Coturnix japonica: one gene and its partner. The protein of the gene in region 1 binds, or shares a complex with, the protein of each later gene. Links are inferred from orthologs where the notes say so. Each region holds a gene or a part of one and is shown on either strand. Other genes may lie near its edges.

Region 1 (11,638 bases):
CAAGCATGACGCTGCATTATAAAACAATAAAGCTTTAGCTTCAGTTCTTCGTGCAAAGCTGCCAAAACCCAGAAGAAGGTAAAAGGTTGGATGTGAAAAGTCATTGCACAGCAGAAAGACAATGTCACGTGCACTTTGTTGTCATTCTGAGAGGTTCACCTGCTCTGCTGAAGAAGCCTGCACAGGAATGGGTAAGGGGTAACTAAAACCTGCAGAGAAACACCTCGGCTGCCCTTCACTTTTCAGAAACATAAAATCTTAAGAACAGTTTCTGCTAAGAAAGAATAATTTAAAACCTACAGATTAGAATAAAGTTTGGACAATGAAAAACTCTGCTAGAGTTTCTTGAAGGACATGTTGCAATTTCTTTCTACTCACAAGACATTCTAGAGCTTCTTTCCATCAGGTTTTAAACTCTCATTGCTTAAAAATTGAAACAGTCCAAACACATGCTGCAGCATCATGAATTGCAAAATTCCATCAGAGCTGTTGAGACATACTGCAGATCAAGCACAGCAATGGTTTCACTTCCTTCACTTGCAGGAACGTGTCTGTTACTGCATCACAAAGAAATATTTCCTTTGCTTTATTTTCCAGTTGTCAAAACAAACTTTTTTTTTCCTTTTTAAAATTTTTTTGGAAGTTACGTTCAGCTTAGTTTTCAGCATGACTCCATTTAATTTAAAACCTAAACCTGACTACGTGAAGCAAGTTACTCTGTTTCAGAGGAAAGTGGGGCTGGCATCTGATCTTGTAAAATTACTGCAAGAACTTCAGGGTTTACTAAGCCTGTCAGCTGGATGTTCCTTCCCTCATTTCTATTGCTCACTATCCACTTCTACAAAGAATAAGCACCCCAGACCACTGTAGAGCTGTAATGACACAAGTTTTCCCCTTTCTGCTAGAGAGCTTTAAGTACATGTAAGGGAATTTACACACACACTTATGTGCCTGCAACTCCTCTGAGGCCACCTCCTGAATTTATGTAGTATTATAACTGCACATTCATTGCTGAGTAGGTTCCTGTTCAGGGATAAGTTCTTGCTCAAGAAACTCACTGCTCTAGGCTATATATGGTACCTGACACACATTTGCTATCTGCAGGTCTGAATATCAGAACTGCCAAACGTGTAATAATTAGAGAGGAAACAATAAAGGGAGAGTTATGAATGAGATTCTAAGGAATTACGATGGGACCTGTAAAAGTACAGAACAGTGACCAGTATCTGTTGTATCATTATTTACCATACACAACTTTAGACTGCAGAAAGTACCTGACAAAAAAGGTTCACCCACTCCCTTGGTACACAGAGAGCAGTGCAGTGAAGTATTTACTATTCAAAACAGTGAAAACAGGTGCATCCATGGTGTCATGGTTCAGCCCTGGCAGGCAGCTCAGCATCGCTCAGCTAATCACTTACTATTCCAGGTAGGATAAAGAGAGTGAGGAAGGTCAAGGGGTAAGATCTCATGGGTTGAGATCCATAGAGTTGGCTAGGTAAAGCAAGAACTGCATACACAAGCAAAGCAAACCACGAAACCCTGAGTAACCTGTGGTACAAAGTCCCAGGAAACTGAACCACTGCTTTCATGTGTGGATCTTAAATGCTCGTAATTGGTGCAAGACAATCTATACCTGCTTCAGACTGAGAATCTTCCTTTTTTTTTTTTCATTAACAATATTAAATCATATCAACCTACATAAATACAGCAAAGAGTAAGAGAGAAACAGGTCATTAATGCAATCTCCTGCAATATCCTAATAGCCAAATGATGAGATAAACTGGTACAAAAATGAGGTAAGACAGAGAACAATCTGGACTGCCACATCTGAAGCACTAAGGTCAGTGGTACAAGGTCAAAAGATTCCTTACAGATCCTATTTCCGGGTGTGCTGATCAGCAGCTGGCTATACGTAAGCCACCAGTGAGCTCAGATGGCCAAGAAGACCAATGGCATCCTGGCTTGTACCAGAAATAGCAAAGCCAGCAGGAGCAGTGTCAGGATGTGCAATGCAGGTCTCCTCTTACCTCAGCTTTGGGGGTGGAGACCCACAAGACCCGTGTGAGAAACAGACAAAAGAGGAGTCTTAAGGTGGCAGGATGTTCCTGTTTCGGTTGAAGAACAAACCAGATCATGGTTTCAACATAGAATCTTGAAGGCTGCGGTGTCCAGAATGAGAATGTTTCATTATCTGTGAAAATAATATTTAAGTTAATTCTTTGTAACTTGAATATGAGCTCTAAGAAGAATCTGCCTATAATACTCGACTTTCAATCCAAGTATTACTAAGGTTAGGAAAATATTTTTGGGAAGCATGGGGGACTGGAAAGGGGGAGGGAAAAGAGAAAAGAGGCTAAATGACAGAAGCAAGAAGAGAGACAGAACACACAGGAAACTGTCCTTCTTCCAACACAATAGAAGTGCCTTCCTGGTAAGCCCTGTGACCATAACTCTTGGTGAAGAACACACAGGATAGCATTTATTTTGCTAACACTGTTATCATACATTAGTACAATTGCACCTATTATATGTACCATGGGTGGTCCTGTATCTGTTGTATCTGTCAGTTCAACAAATGGTCTGTTTTTTAAATGCTTTTGAAACTGTTCCAGTGAAAGTGCTTAGGGGTGCTCTGACACACAAAGTGCCACAAGGGGAGATTTACAGCCTTCCATGGCTGCTTATTAATGAGAGTACAGAGAAAATGGAAACCAGCCCATCTGAGGGGAGTCACATGGCAGAGGAGTAAGTCTGCAAAACAGGAATTTCTAGTGAGATGCAGAAAGTCCATAACTTGACAGGCTTGTGATCAGTTTGGTTTGTCTGGCTTGGTTCTGACCTTGTGCTGAGGCTAGAAGACTTCCAGAAATGCCTATGAACTTAAATTATTCTATAACTATGACATAATGGAAACTTATACTCACAACTCATACTTTGCTCCCTGTATAACAAAGAGTGCTTGCTTGGTATAAGCAACTGCAAACACTAACACACTGTGAACTAAAACAAGTGTTAGGGGCAAGGAAACTTGTGGCCTCATATTTATTTTAATTGTTTTTATTTATTAAAAGTTTCTACATGAAACTTCTCAAATCAGCTAAAGAAACAGAAAAATCCCATGGGAAATTTACTCTAGCAGCACACGCTTTAATATTTTCCATCAGAACCAGGTCCCAAAAGAAAAAGGAACAATTATATCTTCTATATAATCAACAGCATTTATAGTGCGATTTTCAAAGAAACCCCAAACCATTAAAATTACAACATTTGTCTACCTAAGAGGCGTTGTTCCATTTCACATAAAATAAAAGGTGTTGTAGTACCAAAATAGAACATTTTTGTCTCTTTATCTACTGCAATGTGCCTTCAATTCTTATGAGGTTCAACACCTACCAGTGAGAAAAATGAAAAGATAAAAAACCAAGAATCTTTCAGAATCTTTCATATCACTAACTAGTCAGTGGTTTCCCACAGATCAAGTACATACAGGAAACTATCCACACAATATTTACACACAGAAGTTACAGAGCTAATAATTGGAAACACTAAAGCCCAACTGGCAAAGGAATACAGAGCTCTGTTCGTAACACAATGGTCTATTTTTACACTATAACAGCAGCTTCAGGGCAACAGAGCTCTGTTTGTAACACAATGGTCTATTTTTACAGTAAAACAGCAGCCTCAGGGCAACGCCTGCAGCTGAAGAACCCAGCCTAAAACGAACAGTGAGACTCCATTAACACCCACTCCACCTACCCTCAGGGGCGGAGATCCGCCATTTTTGTGCCTTCCCGCCCAGACATGGCAGGTCCTTCAGCCTGTGAGGCTGTCCTCCATACTCGCCTGACTTTATGAAGCCTTCCTCTCCGTCAAATAAACTCACTACATTCTTACTGTGCTCTATTTTTATTTATAAAGAACTCGTTAAGTGGGCTGAAAGTCTCTCTTCCCTTCACGGGGGGCAGTGGACCAGACAAGCCGAGATCTCTGCATCAAGGCAGAGTGTTGGACACCCATAGGCGGGCTCTTCCTCCAAAGGTCGCTTCCTCTCGGCGCCAAAATTCAAACGTTAGTTGCCGCCGTAGTTGTGCTGAGTGTGTGAAGGAGCTCCGCGGCTGCCAGCGGTTTAGCGAGGGCTTCCTTCGCTTCGTACGTGTGGTACGGCTTGGTACGTGTGGGGATGGCGGTTCGGTGGGGTACAGGACAGTCTCGGGTCTATGTCGGTTGAGGTGCGTGACTGTGTCTGCCCGGACCCCAGAGCGGTAGATGAGGATGTGTGGTGGGTGGGTGGGCTGTAGCCATAGGGATGAGCAGTGGGTGAAGTCGCTTTATTTTAATTGTACATATTGGAATGCTTGCTGGGTTTGCGGTCCTTTATGGTTTTCTGATAAAAAAAATGCTTGCTGTTTTGATTCTGATGTTCCCCTTTTCTTGTAGCTGTGTTAGGCATGCAGTACAGTTTGCTTCTTTTGTATGTGTGTTTTTATTTTATTTTTTTTTCTTTTTTTTTTTCCTTCAAAGCATGAAGTGTTATAATCCAGCCCTTAAATTGTGCCCTTGGGGGAAGCACCAACGCGGCCCTTTGACAGCTTAAAGAAGATGTACATCAAATCAATTATTCTTGAAGGATTTAAATCCTATGCTCAGAGGACAGAAATCTGTGATTTTGATCCATCGTTCAATGCCATTACTGGCTTAAATGGCAGTGGCAAGTCCAACATCTTGGACTCCATCTGTTTCGTACTGGGCATCTCCAATCTATCTCAGGTAAAGAGAGAGGGCGAACTTAACAGAGGTCGTCCTTACGTCATCAATCTTTCATTTTAGTCTCCTGAGAAATCTCTGGTGGAAGACCCAAAAAGTGTTATTTCTGTTAAAAACCTTTGCCCTCAGTTGATTTGCTTCCATCCTCCCCCCTCCCCAGTTCTAACTCTAGATTAATTCAACAGACTTCCAAGGAACACTTTAGTGCACTGCATGAGTAATGATGAATATTCTATCTGTGGAGGTATTAGTGACTGAGCTAATAATTTAGCTTTCTATTATTTTTTTCTTAAACACCCACTCTTTTTTATCAGAAATATCATGTAGAAACAAATGGCAAGTTCTAGCTCACTAAAACTTGAACATTCTGCTGTTGCAAGGAGCACCAGCGTCTTGCATCTCTGGTATCTCTCATTGCCCTGAATCTTCAGTGTTATAGACAGACCCACCGAATCCGTTCATTTTGCCAAAGCAGAATAACACAGCAGCTATTTGATTTCTTTCAGAAGTTCATTGATCTGTTCCATATATTTAGGTGCGAGCTTCAAACCTCCATGATTTAGTTTATAAAAATGGGCAAGCTGGAGTAAGTAAAGCAACCGTGTCTATAACATTTGATAATTCTGACAAGAAACATAGTCCACTGGGATTTGAAAATAGCAATGAAATCACCGTCACCAGACAGGTAAGCACTTAATGTGTGTAATTGTTTGCTCAGAAAACTATGTACATTTTTACTGTGCTTAACAAAGTGACCTTTCAGCAGGAAAATAAAGAGTTTTAAAAGTCCTTAAGTTTTTGCAACTGAGACAATGATTCTACAGTGTTGTTAGCAAAATGTGTAGAAGTGGAACCATTGTGCTAGGTTAAAAGTTGTAATTACTTGGGAAATAAGATTAAGATAATTAAATGCTGTATATCACTGGTGTTTTATGTGGAGCTGCACAAAAACATACTAGCAGTAGAATGTTCCTAAATAAATTCTAGCTTTCTATCTTGTGGCCTTCATTTCTGAGCTTTGTGGTAGATTCTGTTTACAAAACATGGAGCTTTTATAAGAAATCCTTCATAGTTGGGGAATTTCTTGTCAGTCTTGAACAAATCTTTACCGTCTGTAATTGATCTTATTTAAAGCTTCTATTAGGACTGAAAAGTTGTCTGAAAAATCTTTAAGGTCTATTGTTATCTTGGGCATGGTATGTGCACACAAAGCAGGAGTGTATGGAATTTTATTATTATTTTTTGATACATTTAATTATTTTGTCTTTTTGCAGTATCAAGCCACTTTTAAATCACTTGCAGCTTTTTCTCTTTCTTTTCCTCATCTAGGCTGTTGTTGGAGGTAGGAATAAATATCTTATCAACGGTATAAATGCTTCCAACAATCGTGTACAGGATCTCTTCTGTTCTGTCGGTCTCAACGTCAATAACCCTCACTTCCTTATTATGCAGGTATTATGCATGCCTTTCTAAAATTCAGAAAAATACAAATGACACTAAATTTGTGGAATAGCACTTTTTTTTTTTTTTATTAAATAAAAGGAACTTTCATGTGAAAATTGAACATTCAGAAGCTAAGATTTTTAGAGCAGCCCAGTATGACCCTGACTGAATTTTTAGCCCTTGCTTTCTTTCATCTCCTCATTTGTCTTACAGGAGGCATTTTCTAAGGCATATGCCAATTTTGTTTTCCTTCTGGTCTCTAAGAGATGTTTCCTATATTATTACATAGTAAAAAAGGGTGTTTTTCCTTATTTGCTGTGTTCTTTGTTAGACAGTATTTGGTATTAGTTAGTATGCTTGCTTTATTAAATCCCATTTAGAAAAAGATGAGCTGGCCACGTGAAAAGACTCTTGTAACCCTTAATAGAGAGACTAAATCAACCTTTTATAGATTTGCATGGAGTAACAAAATGGTAGAATTTACTTGCTTCAGATGGAGTTGTCCTAATTATTATATATATATATTTTTTTAAAAGGTCAGTTTTCATACCCTTTTTATTCCTCTTCCCTCCCCCCTCCCTTCACAAATGAGCCAGATTACCAAGCAACCATAATCAGGAAGTTACTTGAGATCAGAAAGTCAGTAAGACTGCCAGAACAAAATAAACACAGCATCACTTTCTTGGATGTGAGCAGCAATGCATGTAGAAGCTCTAAAGGCCATTTCAAGCTTGCTGTTTGAAGAAAGGACTTATTATTTGTTTGAAATTTAGAGAACAAAGCAATTTATTAAACTAACTTTGCAATAATAATAAAGAAAGGTTAGCAATTGGTGTTTAAAATGAGTATGGGGGTTTTAATTTATTTTTTACTACTATAGCATGGTACACAATTGTAATTTTCCTTTTGTCTTTCTTTAACCAGGGGCGAATTACTAAAGTTCTAAATATGAAGCCAACGGAGGTGAGAGAACTATGACTTATTTATTTTTTTCTTTCTGGATAAGAAAGTGTTATAGAGGGATAACATGTTAAGCTTGCTTTAGGTTGAACCAACTTGACATGATAAAAATCATTAAAACTCTGTCAAATTATTTTATTCTAGATTCTATCTATGATTGAAGAAGCAGCGGGTACCAGGATGTATGAATGCAAGAAAATGACTGCCCAGAAGACCATAGAGAAGAAGGAAGCCAAACTGGATGAAATTCGAAGGGTTGGTACTATATGTGGGAGTGTGTGCTTTATTTGCTAAAGATAATGGATTACTAGCACAGGGTGGGTTTTTTTTTGTTTTTGTTTTTACTTGTAAACTATTTCCTTTCTTTATATGTTTCTCTATGTGCAGATATTAATGCTACATGTGTTTTAAAAATCTGAATACCAATGTTCTGGTTTGTGTTTCAGATCATAACTGAAGAGATCAGCCCAAGTCTAGAGAAACTGAAAGAGGTATGGAATATTTGGAGAAGTGGTAAGAGGCTTTAAAGTACTGAAGAAATACTTTCAAATAACTTGAACTGGTATGTGGAAGATAGGACGTGATATTTTTTCAGCCTTTTTAGAATCTTTTAGGTGATGTAAAATTTATCACCTATCCAAATATAGACAGTGTGGTTTGCAGGAATTACAAGATATATGGGAGAGGGACATAGGGAACAATAAGCAAATGAGAGAAACAGAAAACATAGAAGTTAAATTCTTGTCTTAGTTGTTAAACTTGCCTCAGGTGGAGTTTCTGTTATACAATCAACTGCACTAGTACAGCTTCATCTAGAATTTTCTTAAGTAGGTTTGCAGTGTACAATACTGAACGTTATATATTATATTCATATTACATATAATATTCTATAACAGTACTACCCTAATTTTCTTTCACCCAATTTTAACCCTTATTTTCTTTCAACCTATATCTTTTCAGGCACGTGCATCGTATCTAGAGTACCAAAAAATAACACGAGAAATGGAGAATTTAAAACGCGTCTGTGTGGCTTTTCAATATATCCATGCTGAAGAGATAAAAGATCAGACTACTAACGCTTTAAAGGAAGCAAATGAAAATAAGAAGAAAAATTTGGAATTAATGGCTGTGAATGAGGAGAAGGTAAAGGAACTTGCACAACAAATAGAAGATATGGAAAAGAAAAACAATAAGGTAAGTGAGAACCCAGATACGCTCACCTGAAAGTCTTAATAGAAGGAAGTATGTGAGAAGAAAATTATTTTTGTAGATGGTATGCACTTAGATTTTACTCCTTCTATGGTGAATTGTTTAGATTATACACCGCTTACTCAATAGTAGTCATTCCCTAAACGGGGGTGTCTATAAAGTTTTAATGTCTGAAATACTGTATTTCCAACTGCTGTAAATCACAGAATATCCCAAGCCAAGAGAAACCTTCAAGGATCAGTTTCCTATTCAGTAAATTCCCAAATAATATCAACAATTTTGCCAGGCATTGGAGTGAGACTGAGTGATTTAAGATGATAACACTTTTCCCTCATATTTCTACTCTGTGTATTCAGTGGAAAACTTTATCTGATTTTTTTTTTTAATTTTTTTTTTTTTTTTTTTTTTTTTGTCCATTTCAGATGAAATGCACTTGCAGTGGGAAATACAAAAATCACTAGTGACCTCAGATACAGAGGTAGAAAAAGTAGTTATGTACTGAGTATCCCACAGCATCTTTTCATTCTTAAGTGCAACTCCTACACTTCCCCTGCAAGGACAGAGTTTCTCAGTAACTACAGTTGGGCTCTAGCAGTGGCTTCAAATTAGTACGGACTTCTGTGGGAAGAGGTTTTAGCCCATTTGTTTTGGAGTCTCTATCTGCTTCATCAGACATGCATCTCCTATGTATAGCTATGATCAGAAAATGAAATCTTAAATATTGGATAACAGTATACATAAAATTTCCATTGTTTCTGAATTTAGGAATTTGGTGCTAAGTTACAGTCGCTGGAAGCTGCTCTTTCAGAACTCCAAAGAGTTGATGCTAAAGTCCGCAGTGATCTTGATCACAAGAAGAAAAACTTAAGTGGTGAAAAGAAAAGGCATAAAGAATTGACTAAAGTCATGCAGGAGGTAAGCCCTTTGTTTATGTTATTCTTTTTAAGCACTGATGTAGTTCGGTGTGCATTGGGACAGCAGGTTTTTATTATCTTTTCAAGGTTGATGGGAAGGAATAGCAACAGGAGGGCAGAAACAAATAATAAGTGGTGTTACTTGATTTGTATGGCACAGTTAGTAGACTGCCACTAAAAACAAATAAGATGTATTTATGAAGGAAGTCCAGCTCTGCTGTTGACAACTTTGTTTTAATTTTGGGAGGAGATCCCAACTGCGTTCAGGAAACCTGCTAAACTTAAAGGAAAAACATCTACTTCATGCTCTTGACATTTAATTCATTTCTCTTAAATAGGAACACTAAATACTTTACAGAGAGCTGCTTTTCCTGGTTGTGCAGTTATCATTTTTTCCTCTATTTCATTTTTCTCTGTACATGTTGTGTTGAGTGTCCTCAATGAGCAGGTGCACGCTTGAAGTATGTAAAAACAGGCTGTGAAAACAAAAAAGCTGACAAAAGGTTTTAAAATCTTGATCAGTGAAACTAATCATAGCTGTACATCATCTGATTTACCAACATAAACTTTAAGTTAATAGGGGTTGTTTTTTTGTTTGATTTTATGTATCATTATTGTTTTTTTGCTAAAGGAATTTAAAGCGATAACATCAAAGGAAAAGGAAATAAAGAGTATACAGGAAGATCTAAATGGTTTACAGGAGGAAAGTAAAAAAGGTGCAGAAGCTTTAGCCACAGCACAACAGCATTTTAATGGTGTATCTGCTGGCCTGTCTAGCAATGTCAGTGGTCGAGGAAGTTCTCTTGCTGACCAGATGATGACCTGCAAAAATGAAATTAGCAAAGCAGTAACAGAGGCTAAACAGGTAAGAGTCAGAGCTCTCTTGATGCACTGTTGGGAAAATTATAGAATATATATGCAAAGTATTTTGGCATAGGCCAAAAAATGTAAGGTTTTTTTAATTAAGCAGGCTGTTTAAAACAGGGAAGTCCTTGAGCCAACATAAGGAAAAGTTACAACATTGCCTTGAAGAAATACAGCAATTGGTATACAGATGACTGACAGTGTAAAATAGGAAGCTTAGAATAGGAAATTAAAGTATGTCTGTATTTAACTAGCAGGATCAAGTGTGTCTGAATAGGGAGTTTGGGAGGAATTACTCTATTACATTTTATGCTAGTCACATTACTTGAAACATGTCGCATCCTTCTTAAGATAGGAAACTTGCTGTGGTTGTTTTGATGGTGGAATATAATTTTTTGTTGATAAACTTGCACCATCCTTGACTCATTTATGGAAAAGCTCTTCTGAGAAAAGCAACAAAGGTGGTTCTGTCCCAGAATATTTTAGTTTCTTTCTTCTCTTTCTTTGATACTGTATATGTGGTAATACAGGTTATTGCATCCAAGTATGTACAATAGAATAGTTCATAGCATGGCAGCCTACAGAATGGCTTGGGTCAGAATGGACCTCAAAGCGCATAAATCTCCAGTGCCGCACATGATTCGGGCCTCTTGAATGCCTCCAGGAAGGACACATCCACAGCTTCTCTGGGCACCTTATGCCAGTTACTCACCACCCTCTTGAGCAGAAAATTTCTTCCTAACATCTATCTCCCATCTTTTAGCTTAAAGCCATTCCCTCTTCCCTGTTACTATTTTCCCTCTCCCCTCCTGCTCATGAACTCTTAAGTATTGGAAGGCCAGAGTAATATCAGCCTGGAGCTTTCTCTTTTCCAGGCTGAATAAGCCCAGCTCCCCCAGTATGTCTTTGTAGAAGAGGTGCTCCAGCTCTCTGATCATCGCCTTTGTGGGCTCCTCTGGACCTGCTCCAACAGCTCCATGTTTTCTTTGTGTTTGAGCCGTGGGCATAGTACTGCAGGTTGCACCTCACAAAGACACACACAAGAAGACAATCCTCTCCCTTCTGCTTCCCCTGTTTTGATGCAGTCCAGAATACAGTTGGCTTTTTGGAATGCAAGCACACACTGCTGGCTCTAGCTTTTTGTCCACCAGGACCTCCAAGCCCTTTTCAGGACAGCAGTTCTCAATGAGTTCTTTTTTCAGTTTCAGGGAAAGGAACTGAGAAATTGTCAGGGATTGCTATGTTCCAGTTGCAACAGCTTGCACTTGGACTTGCTGAACCTCATTCAGTTCATGTAGGCCCACTTTTCAAGCCTGTCCAGGTTCCTTTGGATGGCATCCCTTCATTCTGTCATACCATTTTAGCTTAGTGTCTTCAACAAGCTTTCTGAGAGTGTGCTCTTATTTAATATGTCATTCTCTGAGATGATAAAGAGCATTGGTCCCAAGATGGACTGAGTGCTGAGGGCTGGGTTAGTTAGA
Region 2 (11,092 bases), on another chromosome or scaffold:
TCTAAGAGCAAACACCACTGAGAAACAAGGATTTCAAACAGGGAGAAAACAGAAGGCTAAAGGCTGAGTCATTTCCTTAGGAATGATGAGCAGCTGAAGTTGCTCAAAGCGATTGATGCCAAAAAAGCTATAGAACACAGCTCTGCTCTGTCTCAGTTCTCTTATAGCTTGCCCCCCCCCCCCCCATCTTAGGATGAGTTTCATTGGATTAAATGGGCAGGCAGTGAGAGTTTTTTGGGATTTGAATAGATGGCTGGGTTTAGGATGAGAAAAAGCCTCTCCCTATTAGCAGAGATAGGGAATGAGGAAGCACTGTGCCACACCGTGCTATGATAGAAGGAAAGAGGGAGCACTCATCTGGTACAGCTGATGCCTTTTGTGGGCAGCAGGAAATAAGGGGAGCCTGCAATGCCACCACATCCATCCCACACCCACAACTGTTTGGTTGCAGGGCGACTTCAGGCACAAGTCTTCGTTTGTCATCTAAGATGCCAAAAGAAAATTGCAAAGTGTGCAAATACCTCCAGGAACTCGAAGCCAGAGCAAAAGATGAATGAAGTGCGCTTGGAAGAGTTTGGAACACACAAGAACTCGATAGCTAGCTGTAGATCTTTTTGTTTTCTTTGCCAAAGTTTAAAGCAACTCCTCACTGCCCAACCTGCATCTCTCTGACTCCGGAGACACCAACAGGATCCCTTAAACCTTGGAGTAAGGAAGGGAAATACTTCCCAAGAGACTGTGCTATGGAAGCCTGTGGAATTGCCTTCTCTTTGTGCTGCAGGGACACGGCCACAGTGTGCAAAGCAACCAGGGAGCAGCATTACATAGACATTACTAGGATGAGTTACTAGTAGGATCAAAAGGTGCTGATACAGCAATAGGACTGCAAAGAGTAAGTGTTACCCATTTACCCATGCAAAGGGAAAGTCCTCGCAGCAGTTTGTTGCCCAGGTTGTGACTTGTGATTATCTTGTGCTTCTATGACCATTCAGGTGTGAACAGGCACCCAACTAGTTGACAGACACACGTACAGCAAACACAACTCATGTTCTCAGCCCTTTTTGTTGCTTATTGAGCCCTCATTGCTCTGTTTAACAAGAAACACGGGCAGCATCAGGCTGAAGGGCTGCTGCTGCTCACTGCTTTACAGGTAACCCCACATTGTAATCTGCACAAAGCAGGCTTCCCTCTTGCATCTTACTGAGGCTCACAGTGCAGGCACAGAACCCAGTGTGCTAAGTTAGCCCTTACAGGAAAATCAAAGCCAAATATTTCTATGGGCCCAAAGGCCCAGCAAAGGTACTGAGATGTTTGTGAGCTTTTCTCTTTTTAACCTTCTCCTTTTCTTTTGTAAAACCCCACATCCTAAATTTTTTTGCAAAGATCTATTTTGATTACTTCAGAAAAGGTAACGTTTCTATTTCAAGTGTAAATACGTGATGCCAGCCGTGTTTAAGTAACGTGGCTATTTTTTTACTTCCCAAGATACAGAGGAGAGCTCAGACGTTGCTGTACTATGGCACAGTCAGAGCAGCTCGGTGTTACTGCAGTGTAATACAGAGCTGCAGGTACAACAGCATCTCTTCCCTCCTCAGCCCCCCTCAGCTATTTCCTTGCCACGTGAGGTCTTACAAGACCCAGAACAGAGTCACTCAGGGATCGTTTTTGTAGATCTATAGCGGGACCTATCGACTTTTTTATACATTGAACTTTTCTTGCCAGCGACCAACGCTTTGTTTTTGGTGTCGCAAGAAATAACCCAGGGATGGCTGTTGGGATTCAGTTCCAACAAGGTGACAGAGTGACTTTAATGTTTGCTCAACCCCCCTCTGCAAATTCCCTGAGGCACTAACATGGTGCTGGGACAGCTGTGGCAACGTTACAGGTTTAGATGCATAGCCAAGCAACTGCTTCTGGAGTTGGGAAAGCAAAAGGTCAACACAGAAGCACTTTTGTAGTGTTGGTTGCAACTTTTACCAGCTAGAGAAAAAAGAAACCAATAAAAAGAAAGCGATCTAATTCTCTTTGCGTTAAAGAGAAGAAATGGAAACTCATGTTGATGCATGAGTTGATACTGCTTTCCAACACTGGGTTGCATAGAGCTGCAAGATGTGGATGCAACACTAGGACTGTGCTGTGGTTGAAGAACTTTTTTCTTTTTAAATGTAGCATAATTGAGTGTTCTTGTATTTCCAATATGAATTGTCTTCACTCTCCCCGTAGGCAGCGTTTTGAATACTTGATGATTTGGACTGTCAGTGTTATTTTGTTTTAGCGTTCTGCATTCATCTGCTTTGTTTGCTAGGGGCCTCGCTGGACATGCCATTACTGCATTTGTTCTATTTAGATTAAACATTACCACTTTTCCTTTTGCTAAGGAAAGCAAAACTAAAGCCAAGGCAGCGATTTCTTTCTATAACCAAGACGTGGCTGTTTTTCAACTCCATTTTGGCAGCCTTCCTAAGATGGGCACACAGTGGCATTCACTGCACGCTGCCTCTCATCATTACAACAGCAGTGAGCGTAACATTCCTTTGCACTTTCTGTACATCCACCCTTCTGTGCTGCTTGTAGGATCCTCATAATAAAGGAGAGAAGGTAAATGGCTGAACCAGGGTAGCTCTGAGAGTACAATCTACAGCCTTGCTATGAGCCAAAGGCAGCCTTCATGGGGGAAGCCTGCAAACTAAGAATCACAACTTATCATTCAGTTCTGCAATGTGACAGTGGCATCTCTAACGAGAGGAGGGGAAGACGACCCCCAAAGCACAGCTCATGAGATCTGATGGATGGAACTTGGATCATTGTGAATAATTTTTAGGTTTGTACTAATGTATGACGTTTAACTTTGCCAAGAATGTTTTACATAAATACCTGAGCTCTGAAGCGTTCTTGTGGGTTTTTCCTTGTTCTTAAATCAAGTAACCTCATTGCTGGCTTCTGCTTTGAATTCAGTGGAAGAGTTCTCTCTCAGAGCACTCACTTGAGTTGGGCTGCAGGAAGTCCAATGCACATTCATGTTCATCAGTTCATGGTCCATCAGTTCGTGGTCCTTGGTTCTTTCTATAGGAGGCCGATCAGAGCTCACAGGGCTGATCTTTGTGGGACAGAGCAAGAGCTACAAAGCACAAATTAGGAGATAAAATTGGAATCAGAGCAAGATAACATGCAAAGCAGTTAAGTAATACTTTAATGGAGGAGAACAACAAAATAAATGGACGCAGCCATAATTAACCGTTGCTTGAGCCAAAGCCATTCCACGCATCTCCTGCTCTCAGGTTTTCACTTTGACTTTGAGAACAAAGTTTAACCTCACTTGAAGGCTTCTCTATTCTTTCAATAAGGAAAGTGAGAGCAGACAAGGAGATTCCAGTGCAGAAGGTGAGTGACTCTGGAAGGGCTTTGGCACAGAGGCACTAAGCCTCCTTGGCTCCATTTGTGCTGTGATCTGCGCCTTTGGTAAGGTCCCATTTTCCAGTTGCAGTGAAATCCAGGGCAAGAGCTCTGTAATACAAATTAACAACTGAAAAGCTTCACTTAGGCTTACATGGCATCAGAGGGAGGCAGGAGCGTTCAGAACCCAGCATTCACCAGGCACACTGGTGATAAACAAGGCCTCTAGACAGAGCACAAAGGTACGTACATACATGACTTACCAGCCTTGATTTTAGCAAGTTAAAGCAGGATGTGGCAATAATTTGTTAGATCAAGAAGAAGGGAGAAGTTGTGGGTGGAATTAATTCTATAACCATTTATTTTCATAAAATCTTAATAACTGGAAATTGCACAGTTCAAGAATGGAAATATTCCATATAAAAGGACGTGAAGGTTGTTCACACACGCAGGAGTCTGCACAACAAATAAGAGGTGATGTAGCATGCAATTACCAGATCTAGGGGTGTGGCAGTGACAAGCTGTTCTACCTTTGTTCAAATTAAAGTAATTCATGTGTATCACCAAGAGGGACAATGAGGGACTGAGTGAATAAGCCGAGCCACTCACATTCCTGCACACTGCGATAAAACGCGCTTAGTGCTAAGCTCGTAGCAACATTATGCTCGTACTTTTCCAAATGGACAAATTATACATCCTGTGAATGAATTGCAAGCCTCCCTTAATACTAGAGCTTTCGCACTTCCTCACTTCACTGAGCTTTGCCAACAGCAGCAGCAGTTTATAATATAATATATATGTTAACACACACTTTGCGTATCCATACTCCAGACACGTAAAATGTGAAGAAAAACAGGTAAGGAAGGACACTTGTCCACAGTGATTTGTCACTACGGATCAAAGGACAGATTTCCCCCAACATGATGAAGATTCTGCGTAAAAGTTCATGGTAAGGATCAGTTCTCTGTTTTCAGAGGAGTCCTCCGCTGGGATCGTCTCAGAGGGACCTTCTGATTGCTTTTTCTCCTTGCTGGAGATTCTACTTTCCACTCTCGTGGCACGGATGGTCTAGGAAGAAACAAAGTCGTCATGTATTTTAAAGCACTCCAGCATTCCTTCTCACTGTGGTCACTGTTTCGGATCTAGATTGAACTTACAGTTTGTCTGGTGATGTCAAACAAATAATATCTCCCGACTGCTCCTCGGCCTCTTTATTCTCTGCAAATAATGCACATATTTTCATGTTTTTAACATGCCACAGATTCGATCATTTGGGTTTTTATCCCCTCACTTTGAGATAGAATTGTGGGTAACTTGCCTTGAGCGGAACCAGGTGTGTGTGTCAAGCTGATGCAACTGACCCCAGCACCAAAAGTCAAGTCATTAATGGTCTCTGAAAGAAAAAAATACACGTGAGCCAGCTGTCTGTGACACAGCCAGAGGGAAGACAAGCTGCAGTGCAACACCCAGGTGTTACACTGAATAAGTATATCCAGTTCACTGCAAGCAGTTAGGCAGAGCATCTCTCTTCTCCAACCCATCAGATCTCAGTGCCTCTCCATCAGCCTCAAATCAACGCGCTGAATCTGATGGGTCATCTGTGTACATCAGGTTCATACTCCTGAATTACAGCCTTCCCTGTGTGTGGAGGAAACTAATCTACATGTGGGACATGGATGGTGCACCTCCTTGTCCTGCATTAGGTGCTAGAGCCACACCTCCCACTGCAGCTTAGCCACCATCCATAATGATGATGGCACAGCACCTCATGAACTGCCCTCAGCACCACAGTCAGATTGGTTACATGGCCCAAACAAGGCAGAATAGGGCCCTTAAAGGCTGACAAAGGATTTGATCAGCCCTTCCAAAAGGAACTGTTTGCAGCCAGACAAGGAATCACTTGACAGGGAAGCTAGGTAGAATTTAGCTTGCCTGAACAGGCCATGCTTGTCAGCTGTCACTTTCCTGTCATTTATCTCAGGAGAGATGTCACAGTATTCAGATTTTTCTTCTCTCAGCTCTCTGTTTTACGCTCCTGTTTCCCAGAAACCTTCACAAGGAATTACAGTAGAGAATGCTTTATTGAGTAGGAAATGGAAACTCTGCTACAGAGCTGCCATCAAGTGAGGCTTCCCTCGCAATCAAAGAAAGGTATTATCTTCAAAACATGTGTTTATGTATCACAGTGAATAAATCTACACTTGTCCAGACTCACTCAGCCATTCTCAAAGTAATTAGCAGGAGAGATAAGGAGGTGACAGACAGAGGGGACAGACTGACAGGACGGTTGAGTAAGATAAAGAGACAGCTGTTGTTCTCAAGTACAAAATGATTTACAAAGAGCTGCAGCTCCAACAGTGTTAGAACAACGTACCTGGGGGGAAAAGAAAATGTTCCCTTTTGATTGTCTGTCAGCCTGCAAGACCCAGCAGCACCATGCAGATGGTTCAACACAGTAACCAAAACGATACTGCTTCATACAGTTTGTCTCCTCACCAAAGGATGCACGCTGCCTTGAAACTAAGTAGGAATTCAGCCTTAGTACCACTGCAGATTAACATTCTTCCTCCTTGCATGCCATATGGTGCTTATGCTGAAGAGAAACAGCCATGCAAGCTTCCAGACAGAGATATGGCAATTAAAGATCTCCGCTCTCTAAAAACATACCCCAGTTTCTTTTTTGCACAAAGATCATTGCCTGCTGTTCAGCCAGCAAGGAGAAACATCCAGACAGACAAATCGAGCCAAACAGTGGAGCGTACAGGGAGGAGAAGGGCCAGATTTTCCAGTGGATGCACATGACTGCCACTGCTTTGCTCCTGCCTGCTCGCGGATGTCAGGTATTTGCAGACTCCCACACAGCTCACTGCCTTATTGGCTACGTGCCGCTGGCTCTCCTGTGTGCATGCAGGTCAAGTATTTACACAGACACAGGCAAAAGGAAAACAAACCCACACTCAGATACCTGCATTTCTAGATCATCATCACTGCCCCACAAACATGGACAACTGCCTAATGACAATGACCTGTCAGATGCTCACCTGGACTCCTAACTTAATTGGAGTTCACTCCTGAGCAGGGGAAGTTTAGTGTAATGAGAAACAGAGACCTAAAGGAGTTTAATGTGTCCACAAACTGACATATAGCAAGGAAATCTGCTGAAAGTCAGCTTCATTTGTAAGACTGCAGAATGCTGTCAGGAAAAAAACCCATTCCAAAAAGGCATAGCTTTTGAAGGTCAGCTTCTGTGAGATGGCAATTCGGCTGCAGTGGATATAAGCACAGCAGACTCGCAATTTGTGTACTAGAGATTCATCATTATGTATTTTCATTTTAATGCCTACAGCAGAGTCAAAAAAAAAAGAACAACTACATCATTCCTTCTCTAAAGCTCAGTTCAGTTCTTCCTTAGGGCAGAACAATCAGAAATGACTGTGCAGGTTATTAATCCTCCTTGAGCAGATCTCCGTGGTATCTCAATTGACACAGCTCACTGCATGCTCTAGTGACAGAAGCAGGTCACAACTCACCTGGGATCTTTTGTTTGGACAAAAGAATCTCCTGTTGTACAGCTGAAAAGGACTGAACCCCGAGTATTTCCCCCTGCAGCAGGGTTCTGTAATTCAATGCTAAGCTACACTCTAAGTATTAAGGGACAACAGAATCCTGCACAGCCTGGGCAGCGTAACCTGCTAAGGAATTATAACAACATGCCTTCTCAGCAATCCTCAGTTGATAAAAGAAGAAAGGGCAGTGGGTTCGTTGTTATTTTGGGCTGCTGAAAATGTTTTCATGCACTGATTCAATACGTAACACCCTGTGATGTATAAATGAAAACCATATTTGAAGCATCCTTTCCCATGAGACCTTCAGTTTCAGAGTAATTCTGATTTACCACAGCCATATTTCTCTATTTATCTATTGCTAATCCTGACTAGTTTCCTCTGCTCTTCAGGGAAGCCACACATTGTTACCTCTCTTACAGAAGGAGTGCTCAGCCCAATTTGAAAGAGTTCTGTTGGATTACTTACGTTCTGGTGTGCTGATTGCACGGCCCCCCACAGGAACGTGTGCTCCAGTAGACAGCTTATTCATGCTTTGAAAAGAAGCTACATATAACAAGAAAAGAAGAATAGAAATGTTCAGAGACCTCCTGGGTCTAACAACCATGCTGTGTCAACTAGACCCAGGCCGACACTGAACCAGTTTGCAGCAATCTTTCTACCTTGCTTGCTGTTAGCTGTGCTTGGTGGAAGCGAGTGAGCTGATAAAATTCCCCCGGCACTCTTGCTGCGTTGCTTGCTTCTGGCCTTTACTGCTCTCGAGGCAGAGTTCAGGATGGCAAGTGTGCTCAAGGATGCCGGCCTACAGGGCAAAAGACAGACAGTAACACTGAAGTGACTTCTTGCTGCAAGCCAAGGTGAAAAGCATGACATGAGGAAGAGTCCTGCTCCCTCCCAACCCCTTACAATCTCAGGACCAAACATAGATTTCACATTGTGAATTTCACACCACTAAGAGAGAACAGACAAACAAAGGAATAGGCCTGCAGAACTGCAACCTGTAATATAAAGAAACCCATACCTGTGACCATATAAGGGCTGCTTCGGAACATCAGTTCTAGGTGTAGTAAACTCAGAAGGCAAAGAGAATGGAAGTGACCCAAGGGATGAGATTTGCCTCCCAGCAACAGGGGATTGGGCATTATCACTCCGGGCACCAGAAGGTAACGGCATCTCCAAAGATGGAGGCTGCTGCAGAAAGGAAAGAAAGAGCAAATCTAAAAACAGACTAAGTGCAGACAACTCTAGATAAGAGACATCCAGAACAGCTTGCTGTGTGATTGAATCCTTTGTGTGATGGACTTAAATGGATGGTCAAAATTATAACGAGCAGCAAATAGTAAGTTATGATGGGATATGTATATTCTAGTTTAAAGGTCTATATATATATAGGTGCTTCTGTAGGTCAGCAGAAAAAGAAAGGAGCTGCCAGGGTAAAAGTCATTTCATTTTAAGGTAGGTATCTAAAATGATTTGGGACAATTGAGCCAAGCACGCCGACTCTAAAAAAAGATCTGCATGACCAGCACAGATATAAGTTTCCATTCCATTTAAGTATAAAATCAGCCAAAATAAACCCTTTTCTTTTTGACCCATTTATCATCTTTATCACTCTGGAAACAGAGTGATACAGCACATAAGCACCAACAGTGGAAAATTAGACTTCCTTTTAAGTTGAATTGTTTTTATATTAATTGTTTGCTACTTGCCTTTGGCTGACGTGTGTTGTTTGCTGCTTTTCTAACATTAAATGAGTTTGAAACCAAAGCCTCGGTCAGCAGATGCACAGAAGTATGAGAATGTTACAACATCCACAGATGTACAGAATTTAGGTGTTATTTGTATAATTTTTGTATAGACTTCTGTAGAGCAGTCAGAAGGCATACAGAGTTAACAGCCCCACCAACCTCTGCCTGCGATGGCGAGACTTGCTCATGGTCTGACTTTTCCTTTTCCAGCTGCTCTTCATACTTCTTCATATCATACTCCAATTCGGCTGCCAGCTGCTTGTCCACAGCAAAGAATTCTTTGATTTCATTTCGGTAGTCTTGCATCATTTCCTATAGCAATAGAGAATATTTAAACCCTTTCAGAAATCTCTCCTGACTACTGATTCATGTCTCCATTCAGATCACAGCTGCTTAAGTGCAAAAGGAAATACCAGTTGGTAGAGCAGAGGTGTTTTTAACAGACTAAGAGTTTAAACTCCAATTTGTACTTCAGAACATGAAAAACCTTTCCAGCATTCAAGCTTTCTGCCCACATTCCATGAGGAGGCTCACACGTAACACACTGTGAGATCCCAATCTAAAATCCCTCCACCTCCTGCTTTATTTAACACAGTGGCAGTGTCACAACATCATATGCCTTCCAAATTTCCTTCTAAGAAGGCTGTTCGCTCCATTACTGGTTATGTACCTAACACATTAAGTTAAGAGGGGGAAAAAAAGCCAACAAGAGAACACTCCTCCTTACCCGTAAGTAGACCATAAGGTCCCTAAGAGCTGGGATCTTCTTCCGCTCCATCAAAGATTTCAGCTCAGCGATTATTGGGATGATGTTTTCTATGAAATTCTTCTTTTGAACCTTTGTTTAAACAAGGCACAAACAGTTACGAGATGCAACAAAGGAGAAATCACTCTGTTGTTACATGAATGGGCTAAGTGAAAGGAATTACTGCTTCATAGCATAGGAATTATCACAATTAAGCCCACTTTTATACTGCACGTGTACAGGTTAGGCTTTTAACCTAAATGGGAGTCTTTCAAGATGGATCACTGAGTCTGCTCGTACATTGAAAGCAAATTGTCTAAAGGTGCACCAAAAACCATTTAGGCTCAGATGCTTTAACAATAGGAGACGTGTAGAAGCAATTTAAACAAATTAAAGCTGCTTTTTCTTTTCTTAAACAGGAAATGCATTTCTGATCACTCCAACTGACCCCTCACAAGCACAAGGGTCTGTTACAAATCTAGCCTTAACATCTTGTTTTCGCAATACACAGTGCTTCCATACAGGCCCTTAGGGCAGAGTGGATCTACAGCCAGAGCCTGAACAACAACATATATGTATTGCATGCCCTTGGTAACAATACATGAATAATGCTTGCCAAGTCTCTGCAACACAGAAAGCTAAAACTCCTCTCAGCACTGTGGACAGTCCTCTTCCCAGCCAGATCCAAGTGCCATTTACCTGTGAGATGAGCTTTTTTTGTGCTGCCTGCATGACAGCATTAGCCATTGCCATTTCATCTTCATCAGGCTGAATGTCGTCTTCAGGTTTTGATCTCATAGTCGACAGCTTGATTTCTTTGCAACTAAGGATAGCAAACGTATCTGAGAGCAGCTCACTGGCTTCCATGTCCAATGGAAGGACCCCATCTACAAAGCATGCTGGAACAGGCAGGGAAGAAGTAAAAATCACTTCAGAGGAAAAAACAGTGCCAGGAAAGACAGAAAGGTAACACCATAGGACTCACAGCCTTATGGGTTTATTTAAATGGACACAAGTTGTCTGCCAGATTAATTATCTTTTTTTCCTGAAGGTGGCCCCTACCCAGGACACTGTGGCTGATCTTTGTTGTAATGCTGAACCTCTGCTCGTCTGTAAAGTGGTCCAGTAGGAACTTGTAGATATACATCCTTTTTTCTTCGTTATCTTTTCCTTTCAGAGAGAAGAGCTTCTTCGCCCTGTAGTAGAGAAAGACATTTTACGTGGTTAAGTCACATTATGCCATCTCACAAAAATAGTAAGACTTGAAATCAACAAGGAATATCTGCATGTCACTTTCAAGACCCATCAGTGTGCCAGGATACCACACACTCCCACAAATTACATGCAGAAATTCTCCCACTTAATTTAACACCATCTCCTTGAGCTGTTTTCCCCCTACTGCATACATCAATATGAAGTACCACAAATGCTTTCTGTAACCAAAGTCTGCGTGGCCACCATTCAGGAGTAAGGAGGTAGAAACGTGCTCAACTGACCTCTCGCTCTGTGGGAACCTGTTGTACTTCTCATGCTTCTCGTAGCTATTGAAATGGAAGATGCACTCAATGAAGTGCTGGGAGAACATTAATGGATTCCTCTTCAGCAAGAGATGCACCAAGCAGAACTCTGCAAAACTAGAAAGG

Evidence for each region.
Region 2: the proteins of SMC2 (region 1) and NCAPD3 are in contact, whole or in part, in a cryo-EM structure (PDB 9F5W), measured with the Homo sapiens proteins. The link is inferred for Coturnix japonica from reciprocal best matches to the Homo sapiens genes SMC2 and NCAPD3. Residues at the interface, in NP_001036015.1 of Homo sapiens: Arg112, Ala122, Asn123, Asn124, Thr125, Arg126, Leu218, Lys222, Arg225, His229, Trp940, Asn942, Ala943, Glu944, Phe948, Arg981, Met985, Arg986; in NP_056076.1 of Homo sapiens: Asp31, Met72, Ile80, Pro127, Gly128, Ala131, Phe135, Pro137, Asp141, Lys235, Gln237, Gln240, Leu1121, Asn1196, Asn1200, Pro1203.

Annotation. Positions count from the first base shown.
Region 1 is NC_029547.1:59,014,956-59,026,593, reverse strand, and holds the start of SMC2 (structural maintenance of chromosomes protein 2), read left to right. Parts: upstream 1-4,022; 5' UTR 4,023-4,171; intron 4,172-4,524; 5' UTR 4,525-4,602; coding exon 4,603-4,770; intron 4,771-5,302; coding exon 5,303-5,452; intron 5,453-6,096; coding exon 6,097-6,219; intron 6,220-7,134; coding exon 7,135-7,173; intron 7,174-7,314; coding exon 7,315-7,425; intron 7,426-7,616; coding exon 7,617-7,661; intron 7,662-8,130; coding exon 8,131-8,364; intron 8,365-9,144; coding exon 9,145-9,294; intron 9,295-9,924; coding exon 9,925-10,158; intron 10,159-11,638. UniProt on the Homo sapiens protein: Central component of the condensin complex, a complex required for conversion of interphase chromatin into mitotic-like condense chromosomes.
Region 2 is NC_029539.1:2,113,370-2,124,461, forward strand, and holds the end of NCAPD3 (condensin-2 complex subunit D3), read right to left. Parts: intron 11,084-11,092; coding exon 10,946-11,083; intron 10,646-10,945; coding exon 10,512-10,645; intron 10,349-10,511; coding exon 10,149-10,348; intron 9,543-10,148; coding exon 9,432-9,542; intron 9,017-9,431; coding exon 8,864-9,016; intron 8,148-8,863; coding exon 7,978-8,147; intron 7,759-7,977; coding exon 7,619-7,758; intron 7,503-7,618; coding exon 7,425-7,502; intron 4,787-7,424; coding exon 4,712-4,786; intron 4,612-4,711; coding exon 4,551-4,611; intron 4,462-4,550; coding exon 4,350-4,461; 3' UTR 3,168-4,349; downstream 1-3,167. Other genes in the region: JAM3 (junctional adhesion molecule C), read left to right, coding at 452-487.